3 linked regions of the Lepisosteus oculatus genome follow. The protein of the gene in region 1 binds, or shares a complex with, the protein of each later gene. Links are inferred from orthologs where the notes say so. Each region holds a gene or a part of one and is shown in the gene's direction. Other genes may lie near its edges. The genes, in order: topbp1, phf8 and gins1.

Region 1 (10,082 bases):
CTTCCATCACTAGCTAAAAGATTTTAAAAATACAAAGCAGATCTTTTCAAGAATTTCACAAATAAAGATGACAGATCACCATTATTATTAGGTTAGCACTGTGCAGTTATATTGTAAATTCTATTGTACATTAAATTTTATAATTTGTCATAATATTTTGAATCAAGTTAATGTGGTCAGCAGGGTTATGCAGAATATAACCACAGACATTGACATAGTAAGATTTTTTTTCACCCCAAATGTTGCTATTGCTTTACAAATTGTTAACATTACCAGTTTCAGTAACTTGTAGTGACCACAGTTTTTCAAAACCGAAACGAATAAATTATTTGAGATCCGCCATGTCCCAGAATCATTTGTCAGGATTAGCACTAATATCAGTGGAAAGCACCACAGGAAAAAAAATAGATTTAATTAAAGTATTAAAACACTATGCAAGTTTTAAAAGTAAGAAAAATCCAATTCATATGATAACTTCTTTTAAGAGATTAGGCACAAAGAAAGGCGCTAATGTTTTTCTTTGTTACAGTGTGTATATAAATAGTTTAACCCAAAATGTTTAAAATTGTGAAAGAATTCATACACCGGTAGGAAATTGTTTTATTTTTCCAACTAAAGTTTTTCATTTATTACATTTGAAGCTAAAATAATTACAAAGCACAGGCATGGGTAAAAAACAACCAAAAATTCATAAAGAAGTCGACTATAAAATTGTTTGCTTGGGCAGGCAGAGCTAGCCTGGACCTGGCCCTGTTTAGAATGTAATCGTTGTGCCTTATGGGTATATCTATATGCTGTAAATCTATACACATCTGTCTTGAACCACAAGCAGGTCTGCTACTACTAGTAGCAATGTTCATCTTTCCAGTTCGGAAAGTAAAGGTGACTGTGTTCATGCTTCATACAGAACAAAGACATTCTCATATATTGTAGTATTTCTGCATCTGACATGACTTCTGCCTCTTTGTGTTTACCCTGCCTTACCGATACAAAGGCTGTATATGTTCCTGATTTATTTGTCATCTCTTCTTGTATTCGCTGCTCAGGCACTGAAGGTGGATTTGGTCCCCTACCTCTTGAGGCTGCTGGAAGGGGTTGGTCTGGAAACGCTGGAAAACCCCGCAGCCACCAAGGCGCAGATTGTAAAAGCACTGAAATCGATGACGCGCAGTCTTCAGTACGGCGATCAGGTACGCCCCCCTCGGCTGTTTGTGCATGCAGACTTCGTAGAACACACGACCAGTATTCAAGTCACTCGGGGAGGGCAGAGACAGGCTGCAAGGAGCCTCTTACAGAGAAGAACTGCAAGTCCATTGTTCTGGTTTAGACTTCAGAGAGTTGGCAAGTTGCCTTACAGGAATAATGTGGTATCTGTTAGCAGGGTTTTGCAGTTCAAATAACCCCTGGCAATGTTTATCACTTTCTTTTTTCTAGGTTAATGAAATTCTCTCTCGTTCTAATGTCTGGAGTGCCTTCAAAGATCAGAAACATGACTTATTCATCTCAGAGTCACAGACTGCAGGGTACCTCACAGGTTGGTACCTAACTTTCTTTGCTCCAGGACGTTAACTGTGAAGTTCAATTTATCTTTAGTGACATACTGATTATTCTGGGAACCTAATGCTTATACAGTATATATACTGTAGATCTTCTGAATGACCACTTGAACACATGCACATACCTCCTTATTTGTTAGAATACGTTGATTGGTTGCCAATTACAGTACATCAATGGACTGGAAATCCAGTGTATGACTAATATTTGACATTAGTTATGTCCTGAACAGCTACCTTATGTGAGTTAATATGATATGTCTTTTATTGTGTAATAATCATATAGCAATAAGAGAAATGCAGTGAAAACAATGTACATTGAGAGTGCTGTACTACCTAATAGAAATGAAGTAACCTTTCAAGAAGGAACAAGTAAAAGGTTTATTCCATGCTGAAAAGAGAAGAAAGAAAACACACCTGTTTTGCTGTGGAGCCTTCTTCTTTGGTCCTTCTTTCTCTTCAGGGGTCTCCACACCCGAAGAAGGCTCCACAGCCGAAATGGTGTGTTTTCTTTCTTCTTTTCAGCATGGAATAAACCTGTTACTTGTTCCTTTGCAGCCTGCGTATGTTGACGCAGCTCCCCACCTGAACTGCTTCAACCGTATAAGAAACTTACGGAAACTGTGGCAGGAGATGTACCGTATGCACCTAGATGAAGTAGATCACGTTCAACTATTCATATTTTGGACAGAAATCAAATATTTTCTGAAGCCGTGCTACTAATTCTGGAATTTGTGCCGGTTGCCCCTTTCCCTCTTAGTTGGACACTGCTTCTCCTCTTCCTTCGCCTCTGGCATTCCTTCCTTTTTCCTTTTCTCTTCAGGCGTCTCCGCACCTTCCCTTCTGAGTGGTAGTAGCCCTCATCACCTCAGAAGTGGGCTCTAGACCTCTTCTCCCAGGGCTTCTTGCTTACTTCTCTCTAGCTCTGAAGCAGGTAGAACACAGTGTGTTCTGGTGTTTTCCTTTATCACATGCTGTTTCACTGTTGCCTTTCTCTTTGCGTATTGTGTCACAATATACGTCCGATGAATATCATCTTCATCTTAATACATTATGAGGGAACATGCAGTAGATATCCAGCTCGCTTTCCTTTATTCTTAGACATACTTGCTGAAAAGGTCATAAAATTTTACTTTCCAGCCTCCTTTTGCCATTTAAAAGAACACTCCACCTGAACTTGAAAAATTCACCAGCGAAGATCTTGCCGACACTGAGTCTGCGCTTAGCAAATAGAAACTTTGTTTTTGTTGAAGGTCACAGAGCAGAGCGGAAATATGTCCACAGCTGTGCATGCTTTTTAACAGAGTGGAACCATTAAAAACATTTCACAAATGGGTGGAAAAAAAACTATGCAAAATGCTTTGTAATCTTTTAATGTCTGCTTTAGGAGTAACTGTAGATGGAGACAGTTTTTCACCACCACCCCAGCCTCTTAAAGAGTGTCGGGGGATTTTTTAAATACATTTTTATAATTGTTTGCAACACCTCTGTGATATTTGAAAACTTGACTTTATTCATTTCTTTTTTTTTATGTTCAACTGCAGGTCCCGGAGTTGCTGGCTATCTTACCGCTGGGACAGGATCCACAGTCCTATCTAGTGTGCCCCCCCCTGTTGACAATGACGTTGGAGACTTGGGCTGAAAGGCTTCAGTCTTTCGAGCTTGACAGCGACCTGTGGAACATGAAGTGGAGACTTCCCCAGTCCATAGGATTCTGTTCAAAGCGTTGTTGCCTTTTTTTGTTTTTTTTTTTGGTCACAGTGACACAAGCATAATTTACTTTTCTACGAATATATTTTTTATTTGGGAGAAAGGAGAGAAAACAAAAAGATCAAGGAAGTCATTCCTGTCCTCTCGACCTTGTCAGTTTTGATACACAGCCCCCCTGCCCCTTGAAGAAAACGCCAAACAAGATGTGTCAAGCAGAGGCAAGCATTTGTCTTGCCCTACTTAACGTGTTATCGGTTTACAAGACTGTGAATCTGATTTATAAATTGTTTTCCTAATTTTTATAATGTTGTTTTACAGTGCTAAAGATAAAAAGAAAACTCGACTGTGGTGTTTTATTACAGTCTACTTGTACTGCTCTAGAAACAAAAAACCTGTCCACCACCTCCACCATCAGTTGTGGATCTCGCTGTGTGCAGCACTGTCTCTGAAATCTAGTTGTAATATTGACTGTTCATTTGATCAAGTCCTGCACTTCTCTGCTTCTGCTGTACCTCTTCCCAAACCTTCTTTCATATTTTTTTCCCCCCGGAGTACAAAAAGCACTAGATATTTCTACTCACAGTATAACTGCCTTTACAAACTTATATGAGCTTCTGCAAAAAAGAGGAGGAACAATAATATTGACTCGGATTTAAAATATTATGTAAAAGACTAGTGCGTTTGTGAAATGTTCTATATAATATGCCGTATATAAACTTTCTATATTGAATGTACATTAAGAAGAAAAAAAATCAGCCACTCCTGTACATAAAATTTTAAGAATAAACAAAGGGAATACACATTATCGTGTTCTGTGTCTTAACATTTGGCCTGCATTTATTACGCTTCAGTGTTTTCAGCCACTAGCCTGAATTCTTCTCAAGGAGTCTTTAAGTTAGCCAACTAACTTAATTTCACTGTGATCATCATTCAAGAGACAATGACATTTGAATAGCCAGTTTTTTCACAAGAACATGTTACCTTTTAATCAGTGATTGTCTTGTAACAGAGACACTTATTAAAGGATCACCCATATGCAAAAATAAAGCTCCAGGTATCCTATTACACTGTATAACACTTAAAGCAATTTTATGCATTATAGAAAAAGGTCAGATATGATCGTTTTGCATTAATAGATGATGGTGAGTAAAGTAATGTTAAGTAAAGTAAATGTTAGCAAACAATACATGACCTTAGGATCACTTTTTTATAATTTCTTATGAATACATTTGTTATGTTTTTGATGTTTGCAAATTATAACTGTTATGTGAAAGCTGCTTTTTCCTAGTAAGGGTCACAGCAAACCAGGATTCTATCCCAGAAGGAAAGAAAGGAAGTGTGGCCTACATTCTGGATGAGACACCAGTCACTGAGAACACGTACACAAGCACACAGGGACAATGTAGATTCAATTTATAGATGCTTCTCTGGAGCACAATATCTCATGAACACAGAGAACGTATTCCAACTCTACATGGCAGGAACCCTGATTGATTCAAAATCAAATCCAGGACACGTGCTTTTTATAAAGATTACATGTTGCAGAAATTCATGCACGTCAAATATAGCGGAGCGGTGACTCTGTGGCTAAGGATCTGCGCCAGTGGCTGGAAGGTTGCTGGTTCGTATCCGAGGCCAGCAGAGGAATCCTACTCCGTTGGGCCCCTGAGCAAGGCCCTTAACCCCAACTGCTCCAGGGGCGCCATATAAATGGCTGACCCTGCACTCTGACCCCAAGCCTCTCTCCCAGTCTGTGTGTCTCATGGAGAGCAAGCTGGGATTTCATTTATTATCTACTGTTCCCTTCCTGATGGCTTTGTTTGGTAGACAGTTTGGTACCATATGTAACTTATAAACATATTATTAACATATAAACAAATAATTTACATCACTACAATTTTAATACTTTTGCATTACAAAAATAAAAACTTGATTTCTTGGCTTAAGGCTCCCCAATCTCTTGTCCATATGTCCTTTTATACACCTTAAACATTACTTCTGTTAAACGTCTCTTTCTACTGTACATATATATATATAACAATTCAAAATACTTGTCCACAAATACTAAAATAATTTTTCTAGCAGCAAACCCGTTTGTTCCCGTTTTGCTCAGCTTTTTGTCAACGATGTCGTTTTAAACAGGTCAACATTTACAGTATCTCTTTGCACCCAGTAGCATTCCAGTTCAAGTGTGAACCAGTGCGTGGGGTAGTGTTGTGTGGCTTTGTTGTGATTTGGTTAATTTTGCTCTTTGCTAGCAGCGCTGGCCTCACGTCAGTGACTCTACTGCAGCTGACAGTAGCGTGTGGAACTGGGATCCTTGTCACTGTTCCTGTTGGACTGAAAACGTCCCTCTATTCCGCTCCTTTTCAAATAAACTGCGTAGTTTTGCATAGTTACTGTAGATAGAAACAGCTCTTTAGCTACTTATGTTTATCTGAGGTATAAAACACTATTCAAATACCAGTAAAACGCTTTACTATTGCAGTCGTATATGTTTTTTGTCGGAAAATCCTGCTTAAAGAAAATCTTCTCAATAGTAATCCTCTCATTTGTACGACGTTAAATTTAAAGCTGAAAACATCTCTATTGATGTGCTTTTTTAAATCAACTGCACTGTTTTGAACAAGGTTCTGTAGATATAAGAGTTCGTTTGCTAAACACGCTAATCTGAGTAATAAAACACTATTCAAACACCAGTAAAACAGGTTTACTATTGCAATCGAATTATTTGTGTCAGAAAACCCTGTAAAGAACCTCTTCTAGATAGGTATCCTCTAATTTGCACTACGTAAAACTTAAGTCCATGTTGCTTATAAACAAGTATAATCAATTAAAACAGCATTGCGAGTCGCCAAATCCAATGCAATACCTGCTATTGCACACCCACTGCGAAAGGAAAGACAATCTCACGTGCTACTGTTTGGAGGGAGCAGCTTCTCCTCCAGCTGGGCATGACGTCAGACAGAGCGACGCGAGATACCGGTTCTGGGCAGGAAGTCCGGCGCCGGACAAGGAGGTGGAGGTTTGGCGCCAATCAGTGGCAAATCGAAAATACCCTGTGTTCTTTCTTTAGGGAAATTGTTATGATGTATCTATCTCAACGAATGACTTGTTTTGAGAAGACGCTCCCTTTTTTCTTTTCTCTTCGTTGTTGAGTGTGAAACTCAAGACGGCGATACTAGCCGAACACTGGATTGTCAACCCGGACTAAAAACGCGAAACGCTGAAATACGAGCTCGCAGGATCTTGTATTGTAACTCCCGGTTTATTTTATGCACTTGCTTGTGGACACGGTGTGTTGAACCGGGACGTGGTAAGTTCAGCATTACTGAATTATTTCCGCACATCGCTGACTTCACGTGTACAGCTGTTTGAAAAATAGACGGGTTGATAGTTACTGTTTGAGCTTGTCCGCTTTGAAATTGATGAACATTGATCGCATTGAGCAAGTACCGCAAGTTGTCAGTAAATCGTGGCTTTGCTCAGCTGTAGTTCCGTCATGTGATCGTATTGTTATGTTCCGTTCCTTTTCCCACAGTGAATTTTGGTTGGTTTCTTATTTTGGTGTTTTGAAATGCCGTTGGACCTTATTTGTTGTGGATTATTCTCTATTACATTTTATTATTGTTACACCTGTATTTAATTAACTGTTCTTCAAGAGAAGATGAGAGTCCGATGACTGGTGGGCTCTTATTCATTAGAACAAAGACGAAACAAGAGCAATCAGTTTTAGACGTATTCAGTTCCATAATATTACAATTATTACCCCTACATTGCCTTGTGTGTTAACTGTTCTGAAAATGTTCTCAAACTGTAACATCAAGGTGCAGTTATGCTGACCCTATTTTTAATGTAACTGAGTGCAGGAAAAACAATGATGTACCTTATGCGGCAGGAGTTTCAGTCTTGCGATATGATCGTTTTTAATAATAATAATTGCTTACACTTGACACTCCACTCAAAACTCCACTCTGGACACTCCACTCAAAGCGCTTTACAGGTAATGGGGATCCCCTCCACCACCACCGATGTGCATCATCCACGGCAGCCATAGTGCGCCAGAACGCTCACCACACATCAGCTATCAGTGGGGAGAAGAGCAGAGTAATGTAGCCAATTCATAGATGGGGATTATAAGGAGACCATGATTGGTAAGGGCCAATGGGAAATTTGACCAGGATGCCGGGGTTACACCCTTACTCTTTTCGAGAAAAGCCCTGGGATTTTTAATAACCACAGAGAGTCAGGACCTCGATTTTACGTCTCATCCGAAGGACGGCGCCTGTTTACAGTATAGTGTCCCCGTCACCATACTGGGGCATTAGGACCCACATGGACCGCAGGGTGAGCGCCCCCTGCTGGCCCCACTAACACCTCTTCCAGCAGCAACCTTGGTTTTTCCCAGTAGGTTTCCCATCCAGGTACTGACCAGGCTCACACCTGCTTAGCTTCAGTGGGTTGCCAGTTGTGAGTTGCAGGGTGATTGTTTTTGTTTGCGAAGGAACAGGTAACGGGTTTATTCCATGCTGAAAAGGAAAGAAAGGAAACGCAACGTTTCGGCTGTGGAGCCTTCTTCAGGTGTGAGAAAGACAGGGCAGGCAGCAAAGATTAAATAGCACAGGAGAACAAAAGCTGGGAGAGGGGCGAGATAGAGAGGCCACTCAGGAAATGCATATCGGAGAGGGGTGAAGGAATGTGTGAAGTCGAAACCTGTATGAGAATAGAGAAGATTACATGAAAATAAGTTGTCTTTGAGAGAAGGGGGAAGGTGTGAACCTAGTTTCAGGATGCGTTTCGTTTCTCCTGAAAACTAGGTCCCCTTCTCTTAATGGCAGACTTATTATCACGTAGTCTTCTCTATTCTCATACAGGTTTCGACTTCAACCCTCTTCACTTTGCACCACCTGAGTGGCCTCTCTGCCTCTCCCTCCTCCCAGCTTTTGTTCTCCTGTGCTGTTTAATCTTTGCCGTCTGCCCTGTCTTTCTCACACCTGAAGAAGGCTCCACAGCCGAAACGTTGTGTTTCCCTTCTCTTCATTTCAGCGTGGAATAAACCCGTTCCCTTTTCCTTTGCAGCCTACACCTGCCGACGCTGCTACCTACTTGAACTCCTGTCATTTCTGTTTGTTTAGAAACATTGAATATAGGATGTCCACGGAAGATAAAGGAGTATTCCTCGTGAAGTTTGTGAAGACCAGCGAAGAAAGATCAGAGCGTGCCGTGAAAGCCTTTGAGGTAAGGAGTTCCTTTGACTGCTGCCTGGACTGTTGTTTGACTTTGTGTCTGACAGCTGTGAATACACAATAGACTCAAGGTTCTAACAGACAAGCCAGGCTTTTCCAGAAGGTTTGGTTCTAATGACTTGTGCCCGCTAATATGATGTCAGCTTGACTGTGGTTGGGTAGCCTTAGGGTTAAAACAGAATGGCCAAGGTAATAGGATAGCAGTTTGCTTTTCAGGCAAAGGATTTGGAGTATAAAAGTAATTTATATACACACACCTGAAGAAGGTCCCATAGCTGAACTGTTGCTTAATTTCTTCTCTTTTCAGCATGGGATAAACTAAACGTGTTCCTAAGTAATTTATATGTCCCACTAATGGATCACTTATAGCATTGCTGTTTTTAATATGCGTAAATGACATAACCAGCCACATGACCTAAATTTATATACTGCTTATTAGTTGTGGATCAACTGGAACCACTTCTAAATCTAAAGTGTTCTGAGATCCTTTTGGGATGGAGGAAATTGTAGTGGAATGGAATTTATTATTGTCAAAAGCTTATTAGTCTAATTTTAATTCCGTCTTACTGTTTCCTTAGGAGATGTTGCTAATGGAATCTGTATCCCACACATTACTGTATTCTGGTTTTCATCGTTTCTAAATTCATCACAAATCATTTTTTGTCTTCCAGGCAATCAGAGAGCTGCAATCGGAAAAATACCTCCAAAATATAGATGAGAAGGAAGCCCTCCTTTTAAAACACAATGACAAATCCCTCTATGTCTTTGATAACTTCAGTGGGCGTGCATTCCAGCACTTTAAAAAGGTTTGTACTGTATGTAGATACCATATGGATATTTTGCCTTTTTTGGCAAAATGAAAATATGTGCTACCAGGCTCATTCACGTGAGTGGAAAACAGTGCTGTAAATCCGTGGTGTCTGAAATGATAATTTACTCATTCTACTGACAAATGATCAATACATTTTTATTTTGAATTCTGCTAGTGATCTTAAGTAATTCTTTGTGTTAAAGATAATTCAGTCGTGGGCGGAATGTTTTGTTTTTACATTATTAATATGCAGTTTACATGGCAGAATATATATTTGTAGGAATCATGATTTCAAATGCTAGTGGAATAATAGTGTCAATTTTAAATGTACCAAACGACCAGAAACTGCTCCTGTGTGCTTCATGACATCCTTGAAGTTTCAATATTTAAGATGTCTGTCTGTAATGTAATACTATCTGCAATAGCATTGCAGAGTCCATATTCTTTATGTCTTATGGGGACTGACAGCAATTGGTTTGTATCCAATTGTATCTAAAAATATTCAATGTTTGCCATATAAAAAACATAAACATTCAGTGTAAATATTCAATTTAAATATATGTAAATATGCAATTAGTACTTATGGACAGTATGCCATTATAATATTTTTTTTCATATAACAGTATTGATTTTCTGGTCTGTGTAAAAATGATGAGGTATTTTCATATGTTTTACAGTTTTAGCTCTGCAGGTGAGAGATTTCTCTTGTAGAAATTATGAATTGAAATGTAAAGGTGTTCCCTATGTCTCCTGGTTTACATT
Region 2 (9,715 bases), on another chromosome or scaffold:
CAGACTGACACACACACACACACTCAGAATTAATGGACACAATCGTAAACTGACGCACTGTAACAGACTGACACACACACTCGTAAACTGGTCGACACTGTGACAGGCTGACTCACACTCGGACTGACAGACACCGTGACAGACTCGTAAGCTGATTGACACTGTGACAGGCTGACTCACACTCGGACTGATAGACACACTTACAGACTGACACACACACACACACACGCTCGTTAGCCGATTGACTCACTGACTCACCGATTCCCTGGAAGACTGACTCACAGACCGTCTCCAGCTGTCCCACACGGAGCAACACGCTCAGCACCCCCTGGTGTTCTTTAGGGACATTTCCATTTTTCAACTCATACTCCCCCCCAAGTCGTCGTAAAACGATTTTAAATGTCTTCTTCCCGTTTTCCTCCTTCGCTCTTTCCGAACGCGTCTTCTGGCCATCTCACCTGCTGGAAGCCGGTCGGAAGAGCCCCGATTTCCGCCCTGCCCCCCTGAATCACTCGCCGTTCCCTCCAGAGACGCGTCCCTCTCCCCACCTCCACTCTCACTCTGGGCCGCTTTCCCGTTTCTCAGCGTTTTTCGCTTTTTGTTCACATTGTTTTGTGATCGTAGGAATCCAGTTTAACAAAAAGACGTCGCAAAAAATAAAATAAAATAAAAATTAAAAACAAGTTTGTAATATTTTCGAATAATCTTACCGACACCCCGTTTTCCTCTTTCCCCAGTTCGTCCTTCCTAGATCCCCGACTCTTCCCAACCAGCGCCTCTCCTCAAACCATATTGATGATGATATTTTTAAGCTAACTCTTTTATTAATCCGTTTAGCTGTCAGGTATTTCCTAGTGAGGTTAATGAAAAGACAGTAATGAATAAAATCGGAAACTTTAGTTTCAATTACTATCTTGACACAAGCCGCGTTTTAATTTTTTAAATTGTTGCTACTTCTGCTACTACTACTAATTTTTCACAGTTTTATCTGAAACAATAAGTTTTTGAACTGTAGCTTAGAATTGAGCCCTGCTTGTAATCCACAGAAGTATATATATATAGTAAAGTCAAAAAAATTAAGTATATATCCATTGACAAGTTTCTCTGAAGTTCTTGGTCGTGTTATTATAATGGTTGCCCTTGTTTAATGCCGTCAGTAACTTTCCCCTCCCTCTAGTGGTATAAAAACTATTCCAGGCTCGTTTCCCCTGGCAAAAATCCTTCTACCTAAACACACAATCACAGCATCAGCACAGACTCCATCTAGACCTTTTATCGATGTAAGTTTGGAAAGGTTTTTTGGGAAAAACAATTCTTGTTTTTCTTGTGTGTCTCTTGGTGAATAAAGAGATGTGATCGATTGTATTCTGGAATTAGTTTTATTTCTTATTTTATTGTTCTTAAAAAAAAAAGGAGGGAATCGGATTGTCTAAAGAATGGTTTTATTTGTCTGTTTTATTGGAACAAAAAATGGAAAAAAAAACCCAAGATTTTAAAACAAAGCCAGAGTTTTGCCGTTTTGTTTCTACTGTTGGAAAGTAACTTACAGTGCTTAAAATAAAATCTATTCTTTTAGTAAAACCCATGTTTCTCTCTTTCTGTCCCTGTCTGCATTAGGGGGACACAGCTCCAGTCCTGGGGGGCTGCTCTGTCTCCAGGTTTTTGCTCTCTCTTGCTCCGACTTCACTGGACCCATTTAACACTTTTCAAGGGCTTCCAGGTGATGGTGATCTAAAGAGACCTGGAAAACCGGGACTGGATTGTGGTGCTCCAGGACTGGAGTTCCCACCTGTGCTCTTCTTTCGCTGTTAGTGTCCATCCAGTATGGCCAGGAGATCCGCAGTCCAGCGGGTCTTACAGATCACCCTTGACGCATCTCTGAGAAGAGGTTTTGTCTTGACCCTGCTAGGAGGTCATGTGTGTGATGGAGTGGCGAGGTGAGGGGTTCCTGGAATTGGAATCCTGGTGCTCTTGAGCTCTAGTACAATGGCTGGCTGTTCCTGACTTATGTGACTCAGTGTGATGGAATCGGCGGCTGACCTGCTGGACTGTGGTTCTGCAGGAGCAGGCTGGGCTGCTCTGTGTCTGTCTTTCTCTCCCTGTCTCTCTCTCTGTGCCCGTCTGTAGCCAAAGACTGAATGAGCTGTCTGTCTCTCTCTCTCTGTAGCCAGAGACTGAACGAGCTGTCTGTCTCTCTCTCTCTGTAGCCAGAGGCTGAACGCGCTGTCTGTCTCTCTCTGTAGCCAGAGGCTGAACGCGCTGTCTGTCTCTCTCTCTCTGTAGCCAGAGACTGAACGCGCTGTCTCTCTCTCTCTGTATCCAGAGGCTGAACGCGCTGTCTGTCTCTCTCTCTCTGTATCCAGAGGCTGAACGCGCTGTCTGTCTCTTGCTCTCTACCCATTATCGTCTTTCTCTGGCCTCTCTGTGAACTGCAGCTCTTTGATGGTTTATGGGGGGGGGACCCTGGTCCCTGAGATGGCAGATTCCCACTGGACCTCCATCATTGGTCCAGGGGGTAGGGCTGTGGGGTCAGTCTGAGCTCTTGCGCTCGGTTTTACCCCACTGGAAGCCAGCTGCTCAGATCGAGGACATCGTGCTGCTTGGGATCATGGGAAAGATCAGACAGGCCGTGCCTGCTCTGCACACTGACCCCACTGGCCCATCTAATTCGCCTTTCTTGTGCTGCTGTACTCGGGGATGTTTATAGAGTGAGAGGGCTCTCGCTGCTTAAACAGGGGTATTATCTGCGCGACGCAGAACAGCGCCGTTCACACGCAGACAAGAACGTCCCCACCGGACAGCAGCGGCACAGGACACGCTGCTCAAGGCTCACTCCTGGGGTGGGAAGTCTCCAGTGCCCTTGCCAAGACTGCGCCCCCTGGTGGGTAATGGCACCTACAGAGACATGCTCCCCAGAGCCCCGCGGGCGGTTCGGTACCAGAACCCTGCTGTCCACAAGTGCCTGGAAGAGGAGGGTCCTCCCGATTCCCCCACTAGGGGGCGCAGGTGTGGGGGGGCATGGGGACCGGGACTGGGGAACCACTGCTGTAAATGATGGAGATGAATGCTGGTGAAAACGGTGCTCCCGAGACACAGAAAATACAGAAGAGGAGGAGGTGCACAGCTACACATCCAAAAGGGTACTCGGGCTCCGGAAATAAAGCTGGAGGAGTCGCGTCTCTGAATCTGTATGGATCTGGCTGGTCGCAAAACATTCCGAAGCCATGATAGTGTTTCTGGGAGACTTCAACTTTCCCCCTATAGACTGTGAAAAGTCCCTAGAGGAACGTCAGCCGCCACAAGTGCAGTATACTGTACGTGGTTAATGTCTTTCATTAATGGAACAAGTAATAGGTTTATTCCAGGCTGAAAAAAGAAGAAAGAAAACAACGTTTCAGCCGTGGAGCCTTCTTCGGGTGTGAGAGAGACAAGGCAGTAAGCAAAGTTAATGTAGCGGGAGACTAAAGGCTGGGAGAGAGGAGGGGCGGGAGCAGGGGACAGAAATCAAGAGGTGTGAAGTCAGGAGAGGTGTAGAGAGGTGTGAAATGAAACTTCCAATGAATGGAGAAAATTATTTAAAAGAAGAGTAGTCTGTCGTTAAGAGAAGGGGGAAGGTGTGATCCTAGTTGCAGGATAAGTTAGGTTTCGGTAGTCTTTCTGATGTATGCGTTCTGAAAACCGTCCTTGAGAACACAGACGGAGAGATTAGAGTGGTCGTGGCCGTCTAATCAGAGAGGTGAAATGAGAAACAGTGGGCTTGGAGAGATCTTTAATCTGCACAGCCCTGACGTTCTCTGAAGCGGTCTCCGAGTCCCGGAGACTACAGAAACCAAAATTATCCTGCAGCTAGGATCACACCTTCCCCCTTCTCTTAACGACAGACTACTTTTCTTCTAGATTCTCTGCTCATTGAAGGTTTCATTTCACACCTCTCTAAACCTATCCTGATTGGCCTGTCTGTCCCCTGCTCCCGCCTCTCGCTCCTCCTCTCTCCAGCCTTTGTTCTCCTGCCACATTCCCTTTGCTTACTGTCCTGTCTTTCTCACACCTGAAGAAGGCTCCACGGCCAAAATGTTGTGTTTCCTCTCTTCTCTTTTCAGCCTGGAAAAAACTTTGACTTGTTCCTTTGCAGCCTGTGCGTGCTGCCACAGCTGCCCACCTGAACTATTAAAACTTCATGTCTTTCATTCATGATTCCGTGATTGATGAACCGAGAGCTCTGCAGATGGGGAAACCAGAGGCCACACGATGCTGGGAAGCAGGGCAGCCCAGCTAGAGGCGCTGTTTGTGCACCAGCACTTTTCAAAAGCTCTTGGTGGTCTGTCTCATGTGTCCACATCTACTGCATATCCATCTACATATAGTTTTATTATTTTGGTCCTTAATGCTATAGGCAGATACTTTTATATTGATGTACTATGGACTGCCACTATAAAATGAGCACACCTCTAAGGATACTGGGAAGGCTTTCTGAAGACATTGTCCATCTCCTCAGTGACAGAGGCCAGCCTGACTCCACAGGGGACACAAGGCCAGGCTGACCCGTTGCTCAGGACTGCTTGTGTCCGTTGAATGCTGGCGGGTGTTTTCTAACTGTGACCAATAAGGAGACAAACTCTGAACAAGTATCTGACCAGTGTCAGAAAGCAAGAGGAAACAGACCCTGATGCAGCTCAGGCTCAGTGACCACAGCCTGGCCATAGAGACTGGACACAGGCAGCCCTGGCTGCCCAGAGAGGACAGGCTCAGTGACCACAGCCTGGCCGTAGAGACTGGACACAGGCAGCCCTGCCTGTCCAGAGAGGACAGACTCAGTGACCACACCTGGCCATAGAGGCTGGACACAGGCAGCCCTGGCTGTCCAGAGAGGACAGGCTGTGCCCCCCCACTGCCAGCAAGGAAGAAGAAGAGACAGAGACACACTTTCTGCTGCACTGTTTGAACCATTCTGAGATTAGACGAACATTCTTCCCTAAAATTAGCAACTGAATCCCAGAATTTCCAGACCTGCCTGAATCAAAACAGTTACTGATCCTACTGCGAGAGGAAACTCAAAAGAGCTGCAGCCCAGCGGGTGATCTCCTGTCACAGCCTGAGGCACAGGGACTCAACCTTCTCCTTAGGAAAAAAATAAGTTATTTATAATATTTTAATCATTTTTATAAATTAAAATAATATTTATTGTCCTAAATATTTTGGTGCTTGACTGCAAATTGCTGCTGATTGGTCGCTTTGCTGAAACACTCGAACCCATTGACCATGCCAGTCAATCTCTCTCTATAATGTCTGGCTGCCCATATTAACAACACTCGACGGGGCTACAGCATTCAAGCACGGTACCTTACACAAACGAGCAGAGAGCCACTCGGATCTCTGTCCACATTTCCACCCCCACCGATATCCTTGGCTTGCAGCAAAGTGTCTGTTCTTCATCAGCATGCCCGTGAGGGTGTCTACAAAGATGTCCGGCCTGCAGTGACTCTTACAGTAAGCCTGTCCAGCCACTCTGCTCCTGACAGAGACACTAGAACTGCCCCCTGCCCGGTCTGCTCTGCGGCACGGCTCAGCCAGAACATAGACACCTTCTGTTCCAGGGTAAGCGGCCACGACCCCAATTCCTCTCGCTCGAACTTCTTCGTTCCGCCCCCCAGCGGACAGACGGGGTTACAGCAGGCCCGCTCGGAGGAGCAATGGCGTCGCTTTAGCGCGATTCTCGCAGTTGTTCAAAATTGTTCCGATTGTTCGTGCCTGATAAGCGGACTTTCTTGGCCTCCGGCCCCGGGACCCGCCGACTCGGCAGCTTCTCGACCCCCTTAAACGGCACCAGTGGTCAGAAAAGACCTCCTCGGCGTCTTTGTGGAATAAATTGCCCTTCGCAGGCTGGGCCGCGGTGAGTCCTCGGCACCTAGTTGGAAGTCGGTCCGACTTCGAGTGCTGGGCGCCGCGCCGCGGGGGACTACTCGGGAGCCGGCTGGTTTTGATGTATGTAAGTAGCTCACTGGCCGTGCCAGTGCTGTTTGAGCCAACCATGCAGATGAAAAACTCCGAGAGGAAGCTGTTAAGTTGTACATAGACGCATAAAACAAATTTAATTACACGAGTAATTAAAAAAAAGTGTTTTCCATTGTGCCCACTACCAGCTCCCAACAATAGATCTGGGATCTCCGATGTAGAGGGGGTAAGAGATGAAAACATGAAATAAAATAGTTTTTTTCTTCTTTTCGAAGGGGCTGATATCTTTTCGCACACATGTGTATGTTATCCAGGTTCCCTCTAGGGGTGAAGACCGAGTTATTTAGGTGTTGTTTTCCGCGAACCGCTTCCTGAGCCCGGAGAGACGCGCTCCGACGCAAGCTGGGGACTCGTTGCGGGCGGCTCGTCAGCGTTTAATTATTAGGGAAAAAAAAACACAACCAGAGCCGGTGGACAGAGCGGCTGTTAATTGTTAATTATCGGCGAGGACTCTGTTAATGTAGCGCTGCGAGCCGGGGTCGCATGGGGACAGTCACTAACTTACCCGACAGTGCTGTTGCGGACTTGTTGATGAGCCTGCTGTGATTAAAGTAATTTTAAAATAATAAAACTCCGTTATTTTCGAAGTTGTTACTGTAATACAGCTTTTTCTTTCCCTCCTTTTTTTTTTGTTTTCGAGTTTATTTACTGTTACCGTTATTGTAATTTACTACAGTCACTATAAAATGATGAATTTGGGGTTTCGTTTTCACGGAGGGAACCCGGTTCGAGAATGCCAGCCAGCCCGATTTAAGTAAATGGGACTTAATTTATTCGTTAATTAGCTTAATGTGGAAGTTAATTTACTTTAATTCAAATAGCTTTATTGGCGAGACAGATGAATTAGTCTCGCCAAAGCAAAAACAATCAGCAAGAAATGTACAACATTATTATTTGAGAGGCTCTCTCCCCCTCCCTCAGGCTGACAGGAGATCACCCACTGGGCTGCAGCTCTGCTGAGTTTCCTCCCCCTGTAGCACTGGATTTGTTTCTCTTGCTCTGCTGTCTCTCTCTGCCTCACTCTCTCACTCTCCTGTCTCTGCCTCACCCCATCACTCTCCTGTCTCTCTCTCACCCCATCACTCTCCTGTCTCTCTCTCACCCCATCACTCTCCTGTCTCTCTCTCGCCCCCTGTCACTCTCCTGTCTCTCTCTCGCCCCCTGTCACTCTCCTGTCTCTCTCTCGCCCCCTGTCACTCTCCTGCTCTCCTGTCACTCTCTTTCTCCTGTCTCTCTCTTGCACCGTCTCACTCTCTCGCTCTCCTGTCTCTCTCTCACCCCTGTCACTCTCTCCCTCTCTTTCTCCTGTCTGTCTCTCGCTCCCCTGTCTCTCCCTCTTGCCCCCTCCCTCTTGCTCTCTCTCTCTCCTGTCTCACTCTCTCTCTCTCCCGTCTCTGTGTCTCCTCCAGGTGTCCAGTCATGGCCCAGACAGTGTGTGTCTGACGGCGCTGCCTGAGCCAGACAGCCAGTCCTCACGCCCAGCACTCCTCTCCCTCGGTCCCGCCCGGCCCCGCCCGGCCCTGTCGCCATGGCGTCGGTGCCAGTGTACTGCCTGTGCCGGCTGCCGTACGACGTCACGCGCTTCATGATCGAGTGCGACGTCTGCCAGGACTGGTTTCACGGCAGGTAAGGGGGCGAGGTGGGCCGCGGTCTCCGCCGTGACGCTGCGGCGGGTATCCACGGCCCGCAGGCCGCGCGCAAACACGCCGCCACGCCGCCTGCACTCGCCGCCGGCACAGTCGCTTCGCTAACACAGCGCCATGCCTCCGCTGTGTACAGTGTGCTGGGGTGATGCGCTTCATGCGCCATTAAATATGGAGGTATGGGGGTCAGGCAACAAATACAAACACCCCCCCCAACCCTAACCCTAACCCTTACCCTAACCCCCCCCAAAAAAAGAAAACACACAAAAGGCGATGGAAAGAACTGTCCAGAGCCAATCCAAGAGAGTCGCAGCACGAGCGCACAGCCCAGCCCAGCAGAGCCCAGAAGCAGTGAGATTAGTCTGCGCTTCATTTCGTTGTCTTAGACTGCATGGATAGACTTCTTCACGGTTTCCTCTTTTACGGAAAATACTAGGAAAGCGTGCCCCTGTAAGGACAGCGATACACGTCCCACAATACCACAGTACCCCTCTGAGAGAGCAGGCCGTGTTACTGGGGCGGAACCCTCCTCCTGCACGGTCAGTGGCCCTCATGGGGAGATTCATGCAGTGTCTGCTGGTTTGCAGTGGGGTGCTCCTTTCTGGAACGGGTGTTTCTAGAACTTTTCCAGAGTTCACGAGCGTGCCCCTGGGTCGAACCGTGAAGCGGGCCGGCGCTCAGATCGCGGGCTGGGTGCCAGCGGGGGCGGCGCGACTCCCTGTAACGGCGGTGTTGCTGTTCTTGTGTGTGCAGCTGTGTCGGGGTGGAGGAGGAGAAAGCCACAGAGATTGACCTCTACCACTGTCCCAACTGCCAGGTCACACACGGACCCTCCGTCAGTGAGTGCTCTGTTTAGAGCTTCTCTCTCCCAGTCTCTCTGTCTCAGTGCAGTGTGTGTGTGTATTAACCCCTCTGTCTCAGTGTAGTGTGTGTGTATTAACCCCCCTGTCTCAGTGCAGTGTGTGTGTACAGCAGTGTGTGTATTGACCCCTCTGTCTCAGTGCAGTGTGTGTGTATTAACCCCTCTGTCTCAGTGCAGTGTGTGTAATAACCCCTCTGTCTCAGTGCAGTGTGTGTGTACAGCAGTGTGTGTATTAACCCCTCTGTCTCAGTGCAGTGTGTGTGTACAGCAGTGTGTGTATTAACCCCTCTGTCTCAGTGCAGTGTGTGTGTACAGCAGTGTGTGTATTAACCCCTCTGTCTCAGTGCAGTGTGTGTGTACAGCAGTGTGTGTATTAACCCCTCTGTCTCAGTGCAGTGTGTGTGTACAGCAGTGTGTGTATTAACCCCTCTGTCTCAGTGCAGTGTGTGTGTACAGCAGTGTGTGTATTAACCCCTCTGTCTCAGTGCAGTGTGTGTGTACAGCAGTGTGTGTATTAACCCCTCTGTTTCAGTGCAGTGTGTGTATTAACCCCTCTGCCTCAGTGCAGTATGTGTGTACAGCAGTGTGTGTATTAACCCCTCTGTGTGTTTCAGTGAGGAAGCGCCGGGGATCTCACAAACAGGAGCCTGTGGGTGGAGTGAGAGATCCAGGTCGGCCTGTGAAGACAGGCAGTCCACAGTTTATCCGGGAGCTCCGGGGCCGGACCTTTCCCAGGTAAGACAGCTTCATGCTAAATCATGGCTTGTCTCACTGCTGAGACTGTGCCTTACTGAGCCTGTGCTGTGCAGTCTCAGTGCAGAGACTGTGTGCCTTACTGACCCTGTGCTGTGCAGTCTCAGTGCAGAGACTGTGTGCCTTACTGACCCTGTGCTGTGCAGTCTCAGTGCAGAGACTGTGTGCCTTACTGACCCTGTGCTGTCCTGGCCCTGTCAGTCTCAGTGCAGAGACTGTGTGCCTTACTGACCCTGTGCTGTCCTGGCCCTGTCAGTCTCAGTGCAGAGGCTGTGTGCCTTACTGACCCTGTGCTGTGCAGTCTCAGTGCAGAGACTGTGTGCCTTACTGACCCTGTGCTGTGCAGTCTCAGTGCAGAGACTGTGTGCCTTACTGACCCTGTGCTGTCCTGGCCCTGTCAGTCTCAGTGCAGAGACTGTGTGCCTTACTGACCCTGTGCTGTCCT
Region 3 (10,496 bases), on another chromosome or scaffold:
GCAAACGATACTTCATCGACTCTTGCTGCGGATGGTCATCAAGTGACCACTGATATTTCACATTTCAGAACACACTCCAACCTCTTCTCTAGCGTCCAAGTCTTTGACTCTAGCAGCAGACACCAGACCCCCCCGATCCCCCACAGGCCTCGTGATGACATCAAAATGCCTTAGAAAGACATGGCCTTTCACAAACTGTCCTGATCTCAGGATCCTCAATTCCTTCCTTCATCACTATTAGAGTTCCTACATTTTGTAATGTGCCTGTCGTGCATTCACCTACCGTATGCCTACACAGCACAGGCATTTCGTCTATTCCACCGCCTTGATGATTCAGAGCTTGTTAACCTGTGTTATCCCCCGTCTCCCATTATCCCACCTTTCCAACAAATAAATTAACATTCCCATATTGTCACTCTCTTGAAAATCCGGCTGGACCAGTTCTTCCTTCCATGCTGTAGTATTTACCATGACATTTCCTGCAATATTTTTTGTTTCTGGAAGCGAGACCGTGTAGAGGTAGGTGACATGTCCCTGTGCATCATGTTTCTCCAAGTCACCGTTCACACAGTCTTGACATTTCACAGTACAACTGTCCAAATAGGGACAAGAACGCCACTTCTTTCCTGTTGTTTCTGCCTGACTGGTGCTGCACGTGACAGGAGGACCTGCTCCTGAACACACCTGAAGCCAGGTTACAGCTCAGTGCTCCTGGCAGACAGCAAGGTAAAACGAGGGCTTTAAAGTCACATTTCACTTCATTCTGTGAGCTGTTGCTTCACTTCCAAATTCCAACAGACGGGGGTGGGGGGGGTCACATGTACCAGCACTCCCACAGCACAAAAATTACAATTCCCTCAGCAGTTTCAGTTCTGAAAAATTGGAGAGGACAACTGCAGTGCTTTCTTTACAATCTGGCATGATTCTGGTTTTAAACAGTGTAGCTTGAGCACACACCATACTGATGATCATCAGTTCCTGTCTTAAACATAACACAAAATTCAAGACTTTTAATGTTAATTGTATATGGTTTAGTGAATCTTGTAAGAAATACAGTAGTCCTCTTTCACACTCACAATAAAACACCGATAAGAGGTGGTTATGTGTTGAAACGTACAGTCTCATACGGTTTAAAATGCATTTTTGAAAGTATTCAGTGGGGTAAGCCAGTCTCATTCACCATGTGTAGGCCATCTATCTGAACTTGACCTCCTGACACTTCTGACAACTCTGCGCAACCAACGACATGCAACAGCTCAGACACTAATGGACGCCACCTTTTCTTGTTTTGTCAGATTTTGAAAACGTTCAAACATCCCTTGTGCTATTTCCCCATTTCATAGGTGGACTGGTGTTGTTATTATTAAGCGAGGGCAGCTCAGTGGCGCAGTGGCTGGCACTGCAGAGCTGGGCCCTGGGTTCTGTTCCAGACCTGTGGGGTTATCTGTGTGGAGTTTGTATGTTCTCTCCATGTTTGCAGTTCACTCATAGTGCTCTGGTTTCCTCCCAGAGTGCATACTGGCAATACATACTGGTAGGTTAATTGACGTCTGGGAAAATCAGCCTTGGTGTGTGTGTCTATGTGTCTGCCCTGTGATGGACTGGCATCATGTCCAGGCTGTACCCAGCCTAGCGCCTGTTGCTTGCTGGGATTGCTCTCAAGCGACCTTGAATTGGAAGCAGCAGTTAGAAAGTGGATGGACAGGCGGATTATGAAGAATTAGCCAATGCGTGACTGTGGAGCTGGCTAATGGGGACTAAGGAACAAAACCAATTATCAAACCATATGAGCACAGGAAGAAGGGAAAACATGCAAATGCCTCACATACAGCAGCCTCAAGGGGCAGGGTGCTGATGCGAGGCAGCAGCACTGACCACCTCACTGCCCCAGACCCCCCTTAGGCGAATAAACATATAAGGTGCCAAAACATCAGTGGATGACATCAGCATGCAGTGTATCAAAGCCCCATATTATACTGCACACTAGGCTTGACGCTTTTATTTTGAGCTCTGCCACAAACTTTGCTCAATTTAATTTATATTTAATTTATTTTCTGGATATTGCTCACATTAATTTTATGGATGCTCAGACCCTTCCAGCATAAATTAGGATTTTAGCCATATACAATTAAAGAAGACAAAACAGTATTTTATTCGCTCCTCGGTGAAGCAAGTTGTATGATAATCAGCAGGTTAGCTTATCACATCCACATTTCTGCATGTCAAACACTAAACTTTCCATGAAATTTTATTTGGATAGATTTCAATCTAGGAAAATTACAAGCATTCGATTTCTGCTCAAATATTTCAAGTTAGATGTTAACCTTGAAAAATGTTGAAAACCAGTGCTTTTTGCAGATAAAACACAACATACAGTATAACAGCTGACATGCAAAGACACCATCCAAAGTTCTTTGAACTGTCTGGCTACAGGATGCCCTCTGATGTCATCCGTAAAAACAACACCTTGTGTCCATCATCCTTTTAAACACCTGAGATAACAGCCATACGTGTGGTAAGCGGATCTTGCTCAGGAGCTCAAGTACTACTATAGAGAAACGAGACAGACAACAGCCCTGAGGGAGATTTACAAGAGGGGAGAAAAAGGACTGAAAATTATAAAACCACCTCATTGTCAGGCTTTCTGCACTTCCAAAACCCATCTGAGATTTCTAGTTATTTTACTGTCTTATCTGTCTTGACTGAATTTGCATCTCATTAAACAAAATATGTTCTAAATAACGGCTAACTTTGTACATTCTCCCCTATTTTCTTGCAAAATACCTTGATACACAGGTATTGCCAATGCAATGATGATGTGATATGAGTATTTTCATGCAAAAGTCAACACGCTTTTGCCTCTCATTCCAGAGAAAAACTTGTAACCATTTACACAATTTAACATATACTGTAAAACATATACTGTTTTCTCCTCATTTTGTTCTGTTTTGGAAACCTTGAAGTTCAATTAAAATTGGTTAGCACAAAGATAGTTTACATGTCAGTACCAGTATGACCTTGGTGTGGTTTCTAAAGGGTGTTCACATTTTTTTACTGCAATTTGGGCCAAATGCTTTCAGATTTTTCCTTTGAAGGTGAGAACATAAATGTTCATCACCTCTCCAACAGTACTTTTTCCTAACATTCCCAGGATTCACACTAGAGACCGAAGGAGCATTTCTCCACCTTGTGTTAGAAATACGCCGGTTCCGTTTACTATTCCTGCTTTGCTGGTTTTTCCCAATACAGCAATTACAATGAATCTGCATTCAAATGACTTCACTCTGTGATTACTGCAAGCTTGTCTGACAAGGTGCAAATCCAGCAAGTCCCTCACGAGATCCTGGTGTTTTCATCCACAACGCTGACTGTTTTTCAGTTATCTTTCAAGGTGCAGCAGAGCCATGAAGAATTCAGGTGCTCTGAGAATTTTGTCATGATTAACCTACGACAACACGTTTCTCTCCTGGAATGCAGCTCCAGCTCAGCAAAAGAATATGAAATCATTTCTCTGTCCCCATTACGTCCAAATAATGGAAGTCTCTTTTAAAGGGAAAGGACAGACTTTGCAGAAAAGAGATGATGAGTCAGCAGAATATGGATGTATTTTATTGTAAGCTCAGAGCACAATGACCTTCCTCTGTGGTCTCCTTTAGATTAGGTAACACATCAAGCAAAGAAGCCTTTGCTTTTTCCAGCCTGTTCTTTAACCAGTGTTAGATTAAACTCAGTTACAAAAAACGCAGGGTGATACACCTGCCCTCGGCTGATATCTTGTATCACAGCTGTATTGATGGTCAGGTGTGTTATTTGTTCTAAGACTTAATACTACCACTACTAATAATGATAAGTTTAAAACGTAGAATAAAGACCTCTCCGCTTAACAATTGTACTCAAAAAGACATGAACCTCTGTATTTACATAATATCATACAGATGATGCTCTTTCGCTGAACCGAGATGCAAAACGTTTGTCACCTGGTCCTAGGGGATTCTATCGGTTATCTAAATGTACCGAGAACCGCTGTATCCGGAAAAAGACTATCACAGATATAAACAGCCGTGTTACTGCTGTTAACTGTAATACAGTACACAGACGTTTCAGTGTACACTTTTTTTTTTACCTGCTGCAGTATAACAGTAAAAGGCTTCGCGGTGATGCGCCTCATTTGGTTGTGGGCAAAATTTCACACTTCCACGACGGCGGTGCCTGGTTGGAAAGGGACTTTTGAGTGACAGCTCCCGCTTGTCGCACTTTTCACATTGGACAACGTACTCCTGAATTGCAGTACGTGTTACCCCTCTTCCGAGACGTGTTTTACACCCCAAGAGGGGACGACTGCATTGCGCTGTTCATTCGTTATTAACAGCACTAACAATTTGACCGGTGTGTTTTGTTTAAAAACAAACAAACAAACAAACAAACTCCTGGGCTCAGCTAACCCCTCGAACAGCCCCGAGTCCGGACCGCCTCACCTCAGTCTCCGCACCATTGCTTTGTCCGGGTCGGGCTCCGCCGGTCTCCGGCAGCACCTCAGATGCGCGCCGCTGTCCAGCACCGTGCTGGTGGTGACAGAGCTGTCATGATCCACGGCGGGCGAGTTGTTCCTCTTTCGCATCCCTGAAATTCGCAGGACCAGATTAATCTTCACAAAAAAAGAAGCAGCAGTTCTCCACGGCGCGGATTTGCTCGGGATCTCTGGAGGAAGGAAAACGAGTTGAATTTGCTGCGACGTCTAAGCCCTGGTCCCGGGTCCTACAGAGGTCAACCCCGAGGCTGGAAGAGAAGCCGGACACGACGCTGCTGCCTTCTCCCCCCCACCAGCCCAGCTGATGTTTTAGCAGTTTGTCGGACTGTACTGTCAGCAGCCGAGCAGGAGGACCGCAGCGACCAGCTGATCTGCACAACCTTTCACCTGGCCTCCCCGCCAGCCAATCGGCGCAGCCCTGTCCGCCATCTTTGTGCGGGGCACAACAAACCTGCCTGACAGCCGAGCCGGGGCACAGCCCTGCCGACAACATCGTAGCGCTAAACATGACTTATCTTGGGGCTGTTTCCACGGATTGCATCTCAGGCGCAATTGAACCGCTGGTGTGAGGAAACGCAACGGAACCCGTCTTTATTTAAAACCTACCCCCGCCCCCCTACATAGTCGTTTGAAGGAACCTAGTAAAATATCGTTTAACGGTTTCGACTTCGTTATTACATTGTGGAAATTCAGATTTCTTTACGTTTGAAAGTCTGCTCCTGGCCGGTTGAGCTCCTCTCCCGTGTCTCCAGGTGGTTGTTTTTTGGTGTCTTCAGAGAAGCAGCACCGGGGAAGCGGTCAGTTCACCCAGCAGTGATGGCGACTGTGATTTGGGTCGGCGGGGGATGTGATGACGGGTAAACCAGATACACTAGTTCTGCAGGTTCCTGGTCGACTTAATCCTTTATTTCCAGCAACACAAAAGACACACTCACACGCCCCTTCCGCTCACAGAAAGCCATGTGTCCGTGAGGGACATGCTCAAGGCATATGAAATGAATACATGAAGCCACAATCCCTCTCTTTCACACGGTAGTCTTCACCAAAGACACACGGCACGGAATCCCCGTGATTAGTTTAGCTAGAAAGGAGTAGAAACTTTCGATGCTTTCTGTTTCAGAATATCCTTTAGCTGTTTCAACAAATCTCCCGCAAGGAGAAAAAAAACTGCTATTATTTCCAGTAACGGCACGTAGCCTCACCGCACGCGTTTGGGTTTGGGTTGCATACGAGCATCAGAACAATCAGGAGTGGGGTCCTATTCATAAAACTGTTTTTTTTTTCAAACATTTGATTGTAATGTCTTTCTCCCAACTCCAGGAACTCGCGGAAGCGAGCCATTCAATCCGGCAGCAACAACCCTTTTTACGATTAACCCTCCGCTGCCCGGAAGAGATGACTGCACCAGCGTCTTCAGATTGCTCCGATTAATCTGTACTATAAAGACAAGCAACAAGCAAAATCAAGAGAAACAACGTCATTTCAGAGACCTTCCTCAAAGGCCACAGCTGGTATACATATTGTCCAGCAATTTCCCCCACCAAGCAAGACGGTTTGTCCCCGGCTGGGACCCGTAGTTCTGCGGCCTGCGTGGCAATAACAACCGTGCCCGCGAAAATCGCACGGCGGAAAAGTGCAGTGCTGTAGGCTTGTGGATCACACTCGAAAAGTCACATCCCTTGGTGAAGAAAGCGGGAGTCGGCATCGAAAGGTCGCCGTTTCTCTGAACCGATTCATAAAACCGAACGCGTTTTCTTCCGCCACATGTTTGGTGAAAAGGCGATCGAGCTCGTCAGAGAGCTGGATCGCATCGGCGATGGCCAGTTACCGGCGTTTAATGTAAGTTTAGGTCCCATGTTCTCACGCCTCGTCTGCCGTTGTTTCATGTCTGATATGTCGAGTCTGGAACAAGATATTCAGCCGTGTTGCTGAAGGTGACTCCCTCGCGTCCTTTAGTAATCGACTGGATGAGTTACTTGGTTCAAGCAGCGATTAAAAACTAAATGAGCCAGTTTACCTCACGTCGGCGGCAGACCATCTTGTGTTCTTTGTCTCTCTGCAAGAATTTCAGACAAACGTTATTATAATCTCGTGTATTTGAGTCTATTATAGTCATTTTCACTATTCCTGGGGACATCGAAAGGCTCTAACAATTGTTTTTTTTCTGATTTTTATGTGAGCTGCATGTCAAACAATCTTCTTTGTTGACACGGAAGGAGAGTCTTGAAATGAGCAATATCTTCTGCAAAATTATTGTTACACCTGACGGACCTCGATACAACAATTTCAGTCCACTCGTTGAACATTTTTGTCACGAATGTACGTTAACAGTGTTAACTGTATTAACTTCACGTAGCAGCATATTCATGTATAGCATAACAGGCTGATTTTCTGCACATTTTCTGTCGTTGCAGGAAGATGGGATTAGACAGGTCCTGGAAGAGATGAAGGCTCTCTATGAGCAGAACCAGAGTGACGTGTGAGTTACAGCTGCGTTACAGGCTTTGCTTCGTGGTTTTTATTTCTTTGTGTAAAAGAGGTGGCAGGGAGCCCAGTATTTCTGTTCTGTTGCAGAAATGATGTTTTGTATGCATAAGTAAAATAAAGACAAGCCTAGCCTCGGTATTCAAGGGCTGCTGTCCAGTTTGGTTTATTGGTCCTTAGAAAATCCACAGCATATATATGGAAAACAAGGAAAGGCGGGCAGCAGTTTATTCGGTTCATTTAAGGGCTCGGACAAAAAGACCACCAGAAATCCTCAGATCCTGCAGGACTGGAGTACCGTAATGCGAGATGGGTGGGGAAGGGTCTGGTTGATAGACTTCATAGTCTTCTAGACAGTCGTTTTTGTGTCTAAAATGCTCTGTTCCAGGAACGAGGCGAAGTCGGAGGGAGCGAGTGAACTGATCCCCACCATCAAGTTCCGCCACTGCTGCCTGCTCCGGAACCAGAGGTGCATCGCTGCCTATCTGTAAGCAGCCGGGCTGCGCGTCCGCCCTTCCTCACACCAGCACTGCTGGCTCTTAGTCTTGCTCACGCGTGCTGTCAGTGACGGACCTGGCTTTGTTCCACCTCTCCACTCAGCTACGATCGCCTGCTCCGCGTGCGAGCTCTGAGGTGGGAGTACGGCAGCGTCCTGCCCACATCCGTAAGGTTCCACATGAGCGCTGAGGAGGTGAGTGCGGGGGCAGCGACGTCCTCCCCGTCCCGGCTGTGATCGCAAACCTGTTTCGGGTTTTAAGACCTGTGCCTGCCCGATTGTGTAGAAGGAGAAGCGGGTGTGAGTGTGTGCGTGTCTGTGTGTGCCCTGCGATGGACTGGTGTCCCTTCCGGGGTGTATCCTAAATCGTACCCGTTATTTATTGTGACCCTGAACTGGACAAAGCCGTTAGAAAGTGGATGAATGGACTCTGTGGAGTTTTGCCTGGCCAGGGTCAGACGCTGTCTCCTAGGACCTCTATTGGATGTGAAGTGCCCTTAGTGCAGTTTGCTTGTGAGCCCTGATGGGGCAGCTTGCTGTCAGCTGGGAAAATGCTGCTGACAGCTTCTCCTAAACCTTTCTCCCCACTTAGCTGGAGTGGTTTAACCAGTACAAGAAGTCCCTGGCTACCTACATGAGGTCTCTGGGAGGAGAGGAGGGCCTGGATATCACACAGGACATGAAGCCCCCCAAGAGTCTGTATATTGAGGTAAGAATCAGACAGCTGTACTGGGAGAAAAGGCCCTATTGAAATTGAAGCCTGGTGGGCATTTTTATACATACAATTATTGTAACTTTTCTGCCTCCTTACCCTCAAATGAATGAAAACTCTATTAAAGCTTTGAGAGCTGTAGTCACTTTGCAGGAACTGGACCTACAGTATATGAGGTGAGAAATGTATCAACATGCAACCATTGTAAACTCCTATTAAACCACCAGGGGGAGGTGCTTCCCACAGTAATGCAAAGCCCTGGCCTCAGTGGCGCAATATTGACATTCAATATACTGTACATGTATGGCTGCAGGTAGACTGATCCCTGTGTTTCTGGCTTCAGAAATACCAAAGTAAAAGTGTGTTTTTTGTATCCAAAGGAAATATGGTGAACAGAATTCTTTTCTCTGCTTGATCATTTGAAGTGGTTGCTGCTTCTGTCCACACAACCTGTAATACACTGAAGGAAATGAAGCCAACACTCCCACTAGAAACAAAGGGACTGCTCCACAGCTGTCTGACTTCCTACAGTCCAGCTATTGGACAGTGAAACTCAAAGACTGGTTCAGCGTTGATGGTAATTACTGCCCCTGTTCAGCTTCGTTAGAGCTGAAAAAAGTACTCGGAGAACTACAGATCCCTTAGCCTAACTGGTCAAGAGTAGGGACCAAAACTGCATGAGACAGAGTAGTAGGTGAGAGTCACTGCTCTGGGGCACCATGGGTGGGTCAGAGGACAGTGGACAGTGGACGCAGCCCTTGTTCCTCTTAAGGTGACGAAGGGTCATAGCTTTGAGTGGAGTCCCCGAGATATCAAGTACAAACGTGGAGGGCGTGACGCAGGAACACGATTGGAACAGATAACTACTTCAGAATTCTCCTGCTCATCAACAGTAAATGTGTTCGCAGGTAAGAACCCCTGCAAAACATACGAGATGTTTTCCAATAAGGCTTGTGACTTTTCTCCAAAGGTCCGATGTGTTAAAGACCATGGGGAATTTGAAATCGATGATGGAACCATCATCCTCTTGAAGAAAAACAGCCAGGTATGAGTCCACTGGGGAGACGAGAGGGCGTGTTAGATTGAATTCCTGAACATAGGTGTATTTATTACAATTCTCAATATTCTGCAGTATTATATAAAGTTTGGAAACAGTATGTACTGAGTCCATTTTGTAAAGGAATTTGTCCAATTCAAGGTTGCCACAGCCTATCCTAGCAAGTGATGGGCACAGGGCAGGCTCCAGCCTGGACAGAGTGCCAGTCCATCACAGGGCACACACAGACATGCACTCTCACACCGAGGCCAATTAACCCACCAGCACATCTCTGGGCTGTGGGAGGAAATTGGAGCACCCCAGCTCCACAGAGACAGCACCCCTGGTCTGGAACTGAGCCCAGGGCCCCAGCGCTGCGTGGCAGCAAGGTTTAAGTGTTTGATCACTTCTAACAAGAATAAAAGGCAACTATCTTGGAACAGTTCCAAAAAGTATTTTAAATGCTTTATCCTTTCATCCAATAAATCCCTTGGTTACAGGGTTGTGTATTTAGCATATAAAACACATGATATTATTAAGAAAAATGAACTGTTAGTTTGTAATAAAAGGATATGCGATTTATCATCTTCTAACAAATGTATTAATGTCATTGCATGAAAAGAAGCTTAGGAAGTATTCTGCAACCAGTTTCTCTTCTGCAGTACAGCTTTGGGGAAACCTCATTAGAAAGCCGTAGCTGGTAACAGTCTGGTCTTTTTCAGCACTTTCTTCCACGATGGAAGTGTGAGCACCTGATCCGACAGGGGGTGCTGGAGCACGTGCTGTCGTGACCGACAGGGACCAACAGGGACCGACCGCAGTGGCTTTTAATAGGTCTAAAATCCTACATTGCCGACACCGATGTGGGGGGGTTGTCCCTGCTTCAAACATGGACACTTGTGCTTGAGGAAGCATCCCTGGGACCCAACAGTAATGGTGTTTTCCAGGGTCAAGGAAAAACAACCTGTACTTTCCTTCCATGGCATTCTGATGAGCTGAACATTTACACTGTGGTCTTGTACTGTATGTGTTGTTGGAACAGCAGGATGGGAGTGACCGTATTTGTTAAACGCAAGTTTAGAAAACTAGTGCCACTCTGTACCCTTTCAAAACCCACAGCTCCTCCACACCAGGGTCAAATTATTTAGCTCTTTGGGAACTGCATCTCTTCCTCATGAAGGATAGGGACAAATAGCTTGATAAAGGTAGGGACTGCACTTATTTTACATGTAACATTGTC

What was found.
Region 2: the proteins of topbp1 (region 1) and phf8 are in contact, whole or in part, in a crystal structure (PDB 7CMZ), measured with the Homo sapiens proteins. The link is inferred for Lepisosteus oculatus from reciprocal best matches to the Homo sapiens genes TOPBP1 and PHF8. Residues at the interface, in NP_008958.2 of Homo sapiens: Gln1298, Cys1299, Arg1314, Asn1315, Glu1316, Leu1319, Arg1369, Ser1406, Arg1407, Gly1410, Phe1411, Arg1413, Leu1414, Arg1465, Thr1466, Glu1467, Ala1470, Asp1471, Gln1475, Asn1483, Tyr1484; in NP_001171825.1 of Homo sapiens: Gly842, Ala843, Cys844, Phe845, Asp847, Ala848, Tyr850, Ile851, Tyr852, Pro853, Ser854, Leu855, Glu856.
Region 3: the proteins of topbp1 (region 1) and gins1 are in contact, whole or in part, in a cryo-EM structure (PDB 8OK2), measured with the Homo sapiens proteins. The link is inferred for Lepisosteus oculatus from reciprocal best matches to the Homo sapiens genes TOPBP1 and GINS1. Residues at the interface, in NP_008958.2 of Homo sapiens: Leu490, Leu491, Ser492, Gln493, Tyr494, Glu495, Asn496, Leu586, Ser587, Arg588, Thr589, Val590, Val596, Cys601, Glu602, Val603, Ala605, Thr606, Val607, Gly608, Val610, Lys629, Pro636, Val637, Pro638, Val639, Met640, Thr641, Arg726; in NP_066545.3 of Homo sapiens: Asn43, Gln44, Val47, Asn48, Lys51, His66, Arg91, Tyr94, Gly95, Ser96, Asn100, Arg103, Phe104, Arg119, Ala122, Met125, Glu132, Gly133, Leu134, Asp135, Thr137, Gln138, Asp139.

The regions. Positions count from the first base shown.
Region 1 is NC_090701.1:16,016,147-16,026,228, reverse strand, and holds the start of topbp1 (DNA topoisomerase 2-binding protein 1), read left to right. Parts: upstream 1-6,248; 5' UTR 6,249-6,579; intron 6,580-8,398; 5' UTR 8,399-8,414; coding exon 8,415-8,501; intron 8,502-9,180; coding exon 9,181-9,315; intron 9,316-10,082. Other genes in the region: dnaJ homolog subfamily C member 13, read left to right, coding at 1,047-1,190, 1,435-1,534, 3,098-3,195. UniProt on the Homo sapiens protein: Scaffold protein that acts as a key protein-protein adapter in DNA replication and DNA repair. Composed of multiple BRCT domains, which specifically recognize and bind phosphorylated proteins, bringing proteins together into functional combinations.
Region 2 is NC_090697.1:74,801,691-74,811,405, reverse strand, and holds the start of phf8 (histone lysine demethylase PHF8), read left to right. Parts: upstream 1-5,436; 5' UTR 5,437-5,986; intron 5,987-7,421; 5' UTR 7,422-7,540; coding exon 7,541-7,638; intron 7,639-8,408; coding exon 8,409-8,494; intron 8,495-9,131; coding exon 9,132-9,252; intron 9,253-9,715. UniProt on the Homo sapiens protein: Histone lysine demethylase with selectivity for the di- and monomethyl states that plays a key role cell cycle progression, rDNA transcription and brain development.
Region 3 is NC_090712.1:17,844,239-17,854,734, reverse strand, and holds the start of gins1 (DNA replication complex GINS protein PSF1), read left to right. Parts: upstream 1-5,485; 5' UTR 5,486-5,560; intron 5,561-5,848; 5' UTR 5,849-6,292; coding exon 6,293-6,367; intron 6,368-6,374; exon of another isoform or gene 6,375-6,847; intron 6,848-6,942; coding exon 6,943-7,007; intron 7,008-7,400; coding exon 7,401-7,499; intron 7,500-7,612; coding exon 7,613-7,703; intron 7,704-8,100; coding exon 8,101-8,217; intron 8,218-9,190; coding exon 9,191-9,265; intron 9,266-9,978; coding exon 9,979-10,047; 3' UTR 10,048-10,496. Other genes in the region: lysophosphatidylserine lipase ABHD12, read right to left, coding at 4,476-4,618. UniProt on the Homo sapiens protein: Required for correct functioning of the GINS complex, a complex that plays an essential role in the initiation of DNA replication, and progression of DNA replication forks.